Drosophila melanogaster: one gene and its partner. The protein of the gene in region 1 interacts with the protein of each later gene in a pairwise test. Each region holds a gene or a part of one and is shown on either strand. Other genes may lie near its edges.

What was found.
Region 2: the proteins of CG31191 (region 1) and dpr9 interact in a two-hybrid assay, tested with the Drosophila melanogaster proteins (one large-scale study listed by BioGRID).

The regions. Positions count from the first base shown.
Region 1 is NT_033777.3:20,942,471-20,947,316, forward strand, and holds the start of CG31191 (uncharacterized protein), read right to left. Parts: upstream 3,061-4,846; 5' UTR 2,701-3,060; coding exon of another isoform or gene 2,694-2,700; intron 1-2,693.
Region 2 is NT_033777.3:15,074,150-15,078,863, reverse strand, and holds the start of dpr9 (defective proboscis extension response 9), read left to right. Parts: upstream 1-1,657; 5' UTR 1,658-1,828; intron 1,829-2,577; 5' UTR 2,578-2,734; intron 2,735-4,714. Other genes in the region: CG6974 (uncharacterized protein), read left to right, coding at 1-334.

The sequences.
Region 1 (4,846 bases):
TCCGCTTTTCCTGTCCATTTCCACCCACACCGCCATCGTACCCACCGTCATTACAGCTTGTAAGTGCTCATTAACATAAGCCGCTGATGTCGTTGCGCACATTGTTGCCATTCCGGTGGCTCCACGGACTTTTGTCTGCCCTTTTTGGGCGCTGGGAGTCGAGTGGCCCGGAGTCCGGACTTGGGGCTCTCGACTCGCGCTGATTGTCGTATTTAAATTAATTTCAATACAACGACAAAGAGTACGAATCATGCAAATTATAGAATCAAAAGACACTGGCCCATAAAAGTAAACAGTCACCCAAAAAACAAGAATCGCTGGGGCGGGTGGATCAGCAGGAAAGCTCCGAATATAAAAGTTAAATTAAAAAATAATATCCGACGAGCAGAACGACAATGAAATTGACGGGCGGAGAAGGCGAACAAAAATGCGAATTACACATAAAAAGCCGCAATTGAGTTTTTCGACTTGTGCCCGGCCCGTCAACCCGGGCGGTGAAAGTGTGGGGAAATTTGGGGAAAATGCGGCGAAGGGACGCTGCCGAGTGGGTAACTCCATACAAATATATGCGTAAATCTCGACGATTTCAAAGGGCGTGGTGGATGCTGGGCGCCGGGTGAAACTCGATGGGTTGTCAGTGAACAACAAAAACAAGAGAAGCAACAACGAAATGCGAATCCAAATGAGCATCGCTTCGCAGCAAAATAAAGGCAGAAGTGAAGCGAAAGCAAGAGCTAAACCGACAAAGGATCTGGCGAAAAGCGGAAAGAAAAGCGCCTCTCGTAAAATTTCCACACTCACACACTCGCGAGTTTTGCTGCACACTTTAAGGTGGTAGGGGTTGATGAGCGGAGGGGGGGGGGGGGGTGCTGCTGCTGGGTTGGTTTGAAAAGGTCTTAAAGCAACCGCTGCATTGTTTCATTAACTCCGTCTGAAATTGTGTGCGCACCAGCACCCCCATTACCCCATTCCAAATTACTCTGCGCTTCCCGACGACATTTTATGGCCCCTTTTTTAAAACCGAGATCATTGAACGCTTACCTACACTGGGAAAACCACAAACCACAAAAACCAAAACTAATCATTTAAATTGATTTCTCTGAAATCAAGTCCTTAAACCATAACCACAACCACCAACCGATGCAGTTTGTTCAATACTACGCATGCCGTTGACCACAATAATTGAAAAATTACGCACTGAGGTGGGATTTGCTTAGGCCACTATATATGAGCTAAAAACAATTTAATCAACTTAATTATCTTCTTTATTATATCATGCATACGTATATTAAATGTCCATACTCCAAAACTTTCAACATATTTGAATGGATATGCAATGAATGTTAGTATACATAAATAAAGCTTGCATCGATTGGTACTTTTTTCCCAGTGCAACTTAATAACCCTTGGCATTCCATGTTGATTTACACCCAGACAAACCCTGCTAACAAATTTTTCTGAAGCAAGGGAATAATAATATAAATTGCAATCCAGATTTTCCGGGAATCCTTCGCCTCGGGCAGCAAATACTCGCATTTCTTGACAGTCTTTTCTTCGAGTGCATTGCGTACTAATCTGAGTTGATTTACTCATTATTCGCTTAGACGAAAGTCTCGTAAATCCCCGTAAAATGAGGAAATAAGTTGTAATTCTGAATCTGAAATCTTCATGGCTCCCTGAAGATTGTTTGCAAAAAGCTGCTGCTAATTAGTAAGCTGAAAAAGTGAAAACCGAGGTGTTCGCTTCGACTCATCGTAATGAAGTTTTCCAATTTACTTATCGCCTTGCTTTTGCTACGTATATTTTCGACTTCACCGGGACAAGGACGATTCCCGGACAGTTTCCCGGGCTATTTCCATCCACTCCCCCTACCCCCCTGCGCAGCCCATTTTCAAGCACAATTACCGCACGGAGGCTGCAAGTTTTCAAGGCCGCTTTTAGCACGTAAATTAATGTTGTTTCGCGATGTTTGTTGCCTCTGTTGTTTTGCTCGACTCAACTTTTGTTTAGTGTTTTTCTAGGCGGGTAGGGAAAAGTTTCCCGTTTTCCACGCTGCACCAAAGGCGTTTTCCCTTTTTTCTCGCACGAAACTGTTGAGTGGCAAGTACACAGAAGTGTTGCCGTGTGTGTGTGTTCTTTTTTTCGAGTTTGTGTGCTTTGTGCAGTCATCAACACCAGCACAAACACACACGCACACACAGCCAGTGGATAGTAAATAGAAAGGACATTAAGTGGCGTTAAACAGACACTCGTGCAACAGCCGCAACATGTGAAGTGGACCAGCGGGGAAGTGGCAAGCCAGGACATCGGGTGGTTGGGTGTGAAAAAAATGCATGAGGCTGCGCCATTGCAAAGCACATTTATTAGCCGGGCACACGATTCAAATCGGTTTGCTCTCTGTCTCTGCCTCCTTTATTTTTATTTTAAGCGGAAAGTGCAGTTGAGATAAAGTGGCATTAAAATGGCGTTTTACCTTTTCGGCATAATTATTAAGTTATTATTAAACGAAAGTGAAGCTATGCTGCTATATTTACTCTGGTTAATCTGTATATCTAGCCAAAAATGAAATAACTATTTCTAATATTGTATTAAAGCGAACATTATGTATACATTTAAATGTATTTTCTTTGCTCCCATAACTTGAATTATTTATTAAAACTTAACAATATGGTGGTACTTCTTTGTGCACTTACTTATCATTTTATGCCGCTGGGCGGTGCGCAAACCCAAATGCTTGGATTAATCCGGCTGACTGCTCTTTGATGAGGAACCCGAAGCTCCGTTTTTGACCGCTTCAGTCCGCACTCGAATCGAATCGAATATAAAACTCGCGAAATGGTCACCGGGTATTTCCGGGAAATAAGCCACGAAACTTTAAAACTCGCACTGCTCTTTTGCTTTTCAGGACGAACTGCTGATGGCTGATACAGATGCTGTTGCTGCTTTTGGTGTTGCTGTGCCTGCTGTTGCTGCTGTTGCTGCTACTCGTGCTGCGTTTTTGCGTTTTTGCCGCGCTTGCCACCCAAGGACCCAACCAGACGAGGACTGTCGATGAACTGTGCGTCCAGCAGCTGTTGCTGCCCGGTGTTATACGGGCCATAGCACAGTTGGCACAGGCGGCGCGTCCCCAGGCACAGTGGGCCATCGTGGTGCAATTCACGCACACACGGCGTATGCGCAATGTCGGAATGGCAGGAGAGCCGAGCGAGAGACCGAGAAGCCGACGGAATTTACTCACGCAACGGCGGAGCAACAATTTGTTGACGAGCCGGGACACAGCCACGAATGCCAGTCAGCCAGACGGGCGGAAGGACGGAGGACATTTTGCTATTTGTTATACGGCAGACAGGCAGCGTCGTCCTGTCCAAAGGCAAGAAATAAGACCGGAAGCAAGAAGTCAGCGCGATAAGCAAACGAGGGGAAAGCGGAGCAAAAGGGATATCCTCCTCTCTTGCAGCTGCAAATTCCTGCTGTCTTTCTTTGGTAATACGAAGGGCGAGAGCCAGGACGAAGTCACCTTTTCCTTGTTTGTCCCTTTCCTTGCCCCGTTCTGCTGCGGGAGAACACCTGAATTTTCTTTCTTTCGACATTAGCATAATCGGCTGTAGTAGTAGTTGTGCCGTGGAAATTAAGTTGGCGCTGGATCTGCCCCTGTGCTGCGCCAGAAACTTACTCCGTGGCACACGCGGCGTATGCGCAATGTGCGGCAACTGTTGCTTGGACCCAAAAAGGGTGCTCCGCTTCCGTTCCCACCGTCCCCTCCACGACTCAATAAATATGCATGAGCAGGAGGCCAAGGGGCTTCAATTAAATTTACTCAAATTGCGGTTGACGGGACAAACGGCTGCTGGTGTGCAGCTTTTTTCTGCGTGAAGGAGGTCGGAAATTTGCATGCAAATATTTTCGGCATTTCCTCTGCTGGAAATTTATTTGTTTTTTTTTTTTTTTGTTTTTTGCCCTTACTATTTTTTGCATTTATTATGAGCGTAGGCAGAAAAAGCGGCACAAATTAAGACGCCAGCTCGTTGATGCGTGTCCTGGTAGTGTTAAATTGCGAAATGAACTTAAGTGAAATGAGCAAAAGGAGCTGGAGGAGCACGAGCTTTAATGGCCAGCATTCTGGTCCTTCCGTTTGGCTCCAAATTGGCGGCCTGGATGGGGGATTCCAGGAGCCTGGCAGAGCAAACATGAACGAAAAAACATGAAACGTGCCCAGCCTGCTAAGGACATTCATTACGCAAGCTATGAAGCTGCCTTCTCCGAACTGAATCCAACCATCGCAGCCATACCCACACACCCCCCCCCCTCCACTTCCTACCCATGGGCTTAGTGGGCTGGCCACGCCTCCTATTGAATTATTCCAGTTTTATTTCTCGCCATTTGGCTTGGCACACACCGAGGCATCCGACTCGGCCGTGAAGCTGACTCCTTGCCGCCGGTGGCCCGGTTGTTGAACCACAAACACCCAGACACACAGAAACACTAAGCACCAGCACGCAGCAGAGGCAAAGACACCTGTTGATTGGGCCTTTCAGGTTATTTGAGCCAAAGCCAATGCCAAAGCAAAAGCAAAAGCGAAAGCCAAACCCGAAGACAGTGGCAGTGGCAACAAGGCGATTTCCCCTCAGCTTATGTGGGCTCAATTTTGTAGTCGAGCCGGCTTCCTTCTAATGGCCATGGGATATTGAATCGATTGACGGGGCCGCAGGATGAGAGGGCGGGCAAAAGGATGGGCAAAGTGGAAAGTGGGTTGCTCTGCAGCTGAGCGAAAAGTCGTTTCGCCTAAGCAACCGCAGCCCCTTTGGAGCTGCTTCCTTGTTTGTGCTCGTGTCGACAACAATTGATT
Region 2 (4,714 bases), 5.9 Mb from region 1:
GCCGGCTGTAATTCAACACGAAACCCTTCACCTGCTGGGCCTTTTCCACGAGCAGAGTCGTCCCGATCGCGATGAGTACGTGCAAATCGACTACGACAATATCCCGAGGAAATACTGGTCGCAGTTCATGGCCATGGATCAGACAACCACCTTCAATGTTCCATACGATTACGAGAGCGTTATGCACTATTCGAAGAACGCCTTCGCCAAGGATCCCTCAAAGCCAACAATTCGTGCCCTAATCGGTGGTAAGGCTGTGGAGAGGGAAATGGGTCAGGTGCGAGGACCTTCCGAAGGGGATTGGACCAAAATTCGTTTGATGTACAAGTGCTAGAGTGGAGGAAGAATTCTGCGAGGACTAGGATTGGTTAATAAATATGTTGCGTTCTAAAGTGGATGTGTTTAAATGGAATGGTTTAATATGCAAACTTTCAGACCGATTGCATGGTTTTTCAATCTTTTATGGCTTTTCATTTAAGTCTATCACTAAGTCATTTAAGCCCCACCCACCCGAAAAGTGCTACCCGTTTAATGCTACCCAATCATTCAGTGTCCGTTAACTGGAAAAACGTTTTTCCAGCCTCTTGAAAATGGGTAGCCCCGCTCGAACATAAAGGAAATCCAAATCCAAGCCCAAGGCGAATGCATTTGATTTCACAGAAGTGCAAGTGTAAGTGTCAGTTAACTTTGAAGCAGACTAAGGAGCAGTTGGGGAAGAAAGCGGGGCTTCTCAATGCTGAATGGGGTCTGCCGTGGATTGGGCATGAGTCCAAACGACTGGGCAGCAAACAATCCGAATCCCTGGCACTTAATGTGCACTAAGTGCTTAAGAAGGCCGAGTGTCTGGAGCTGCCTATTAGAAGTCTCTCACTCCCCTGGCCAGTAACCACCCACTTTGGATCAGGATACCATTTCATGGATAGCAATTGCGGAATTTAAATAACCTTTTTAAATCCCTGACAGCTTTGCAAAAATCGAATTGTACGAGTTAAAGAATCAACCAAGCAAGAAGAAATTTTCATCTGCTTAAATTTAAAGAATATATCTTTGCTATAAAGAATCCAATTATTTTGACATGAATTATCTTATATGCCCAGATAGAAATAATATTTACTGAAATGTGACGAATATTATTTAATAGCTTTGACCTTTAAAGAAAACTGTCAGAAAACAAACCAATAAAAGCTAATAAATGTGCCGCATGGTAGTAAGAGAGTATTCCTGTATCTCCACTAATAATTTAGCAACAACATACAACGAATGTGTAAATGTTTGCTTAAAGGAGAATATAAATAACAAACAAAAGAATAAACGCTGTAGTTTACCCTTTTGAGTGGTACAAAATAGCACTATTGGCAAGTGTTGAGTTCTGCAAAGCGGGGCAAAGAGTTGTGGCTTCGTAAGGATGCCAACAGATGGCCATTAAATGCTTGCCTTAAGAGAGCCGGATATCAAAGAGACTCCACATGTTTCGGGAAGTTCGAAAGTGCCATCGGTGAGAGTGAAGACCGACTGGAAGTGAGCTGGCAGGATGAATACATTTTGGCCCACTGTTCTAGGCGGAAAAGCTCGCTCTCTCGCCGAAAAAGGGGAAGAGGAAAATGGGAGCTTTGGCTGGTCGCCTGGCTTTTCAAGCCGACGCCGTTCGTGTGGCTTTCAGTGTATTCAGTGCAGTCGTATCGTTCGGTTCGTTCTCACGGTGAAAAGCGGTGGAAGGTCCTGTTCGGAGGACAACCTCAATACGCCACTCACACACGCACAAGTGGGCTTACTCACACGGACACGGGTGCGCTAGTCGAAAGTAAAAGTTGTCCAGTGTGCCATAAAGGTAAATAATAAATGAGCCAATGTGAAATATACGCACGCAATGTGAAAGCAACGAAATATATGAAGAAATCTACGGAAAAATGAAAATCTAGACCTGCGTGCCAGTGTGCAAAATCAAGTATGCAACACTTAAGTGAAACGAATATCCCAAAATAAAGTGTGCAAGAGTGCCAGCGATCCTTGAATATTCGAGTACCAAACTAAAATACTAAGCCAGACTAAAACTAAAAACCGAACCTGCCCCAACTGATCCTTCACCTCAATTCTTACCTATCAAGGCCACACGGCGGCTGTGGCATATTAACGTTGCACTCGTTGCACGTTGCACATACAGCCAACTCACACAAAAAATGTTATTCATCTTCGCGTGCTGTTTTGTTTTTTAAGACCGCCAAGGTCGTCCAGGAATACGTATATCTCTTAACGCGGTCCGAGAATTTTAGAAATAATTATAAGAAATACTTTGGGGTTTCCTTTTAAAATTTCTCGGAAAATGTTGCGATTTTCCCTCGTCTGAACTTTTGCTTTTTAACTTTTTTCTTTCGCCTTCCCTTTGGGGCTCATAAATTAGGGTCGCATTCCGCTTAACCGGGAATATTTGCATAAAATGGGAAAAAGGGCGAGAAATGGTTTAAATACGGGAATCACACGGCTGAGATATTCAACACATGAAAAAAAGGGGGCATATAAAATGAGTTCACAGGCCTTGATGGGTTGAGATAAAGCAAACATTAAAGTCCCTTTATTTAGATGATAAAAAATTGAAAAACAAAAGTGAAAATTAGCACTGCGAAAATTCCAAGGTTCATAAAGATTCGGTACCGAAACTTTTGAGTTTTATCAAAAACCCAAACATCGAAAAATTTGCAACAAAACAGGATCAAAGGACAACAGCAGCGCAGCAAAGGTGAGCCCTTTTAATTTTATTGAGCCAATTATCCAATAATTTCATTAACTAGTTAACACCAATAATCATGTATTTCCTTACAAAAAAAAAAAAAAAACAAAAACACATATCAACCAATGTGTCATTGTTTGAGTTTGGGTGGTGCGTTGGTTTTCCCAGTGGCGGAAAAGCCAAGCCAACGGGTGGTACGGTTACATTTTTATTTATTGTGATATTTTTTTTCGCTGTTTCTCTTTGCTGTGGTTAGAAGTTGTTCAGGAAAAAATGTTGCCGGTGGGAGGAGCTTGGATTGTTAGCTCAATTTAATTATGAAAATGCCAAGAATTTCTCTGGGCACACACGTGCCTAAACATACAGGTGGGTGGTATTCCAATCAACTTATTTTATTAAATGTTGTGGGGGAAGGACACCAAATTTATGCTCCTAAAAGCTTATATTAAGACTCACTGATGGAAAGGTGTTATAAATAATAATGACTATTTTTAATTAATATACAAACGGAATATTATAAGTGTTATAAGTATTTGAGAGCTACTTGTTGGTTAATTAAAATTTTATCAGGCAACTGAACATAAACCTGATTCAGTTACTACGAACTGAAATTTTGTTCTTCGGAAACATACTAATAAGCCTATTTAAACTCTTTTAAGTTCTTGAAATTAATTAGCTAATGATCCATTATTTATAATGAAACATTATTGCTAAGAACCATAAATTCGCGATGGGTAAGGCTTACATTTAAATAGGTCACGTGAAATGCCTTCGTTTTCAGTTTTACTAAGAGTCGTAGCTTTCCACTCATGTGGCACATATTTCTGTGGCATCCACCACAAATTTCCATTACTGAGATTGCCTTAGAAAATATGCTTAGATGCTACACCTTTGACCACTTTCCCAACACCATTACCTGTGAGCTCAGGGAAAAGGTAACTAAGACTTTCCGCCCGACAAGATTGCCATTTTATGCTAGACATTTTCTAAGAAAATAAAACAACATTTTATTTACACGCTGCTTCAGCAAGGTCACTTATTATGGAACTTTGCGCGTCAGAAAGTTGCCCAAATACATAAATTATTTTTATTGTACTTAACCTTTTTTTTTTTTGCCTTGACTTTCCCTATTCATTGTCTGGCCCAAATCAGCTTAAGTCACACAGAAAAGAAATTCATAAGCTTGCTTTAAGATGCGAGTAACCGAAAGATACAAATAAGTGAAGTAGGCCGAACAGAAAATAGGCTTTAAAAGCTGTTTGGTTACTCTATAAAATATTTCGGTTGAGCTTATAGAATTTCAGAACGACATTAATAACCCTTCTTTCGTTAGAAAAAAAAGGGTTATAATATTGAGCCAAATTATAAGCAAAAAATTGTATTTTATGTGCATGGTTTCCTACAATTCATCGAATTGGATTGATACAAAAAGTAACTGTAGCTGATTAAACTTGCTTATGACTCTATGACCTGAATATATTTTCCCATTTAATCAGCTTACAATTGTTGCAATATTTTTTTAAATGGCACAATAAAGTTGAAAATGCAATGGAAGTGCAACACAAAACGCGTCCATTATATTTGTTTTGGCATTGACATATTTACTTGATTTAAATTTTTATGAATACCCTTTTGTTTACTTGTGAAACTCTTTGAGCGTACAATTTTGAATGAATGAAATATTATGCAAATGTTTGATAAATAGCAGGAAATCAAAAGCAAACAAAAGGAGAAAATTGTTAAGCAAAAATATAATTGATGGCAATCGCACACAATTGCAGCCGAGCGAAGACATAATTAAAAGAAATATATATGTATATGTATATATGCGTACGTATGGGTGTATTAATCAAACATAATTACTCTGGTCATGCATATTTGATTAATCGGTTAAAAGGAAGGTCCTGTGGTCGTGTTCCACTTTTGTTTGACCTGACAGCTGTCGCTTTAAATGTCAATGCATTGATGACCCATCAAAAGTTCACTTCA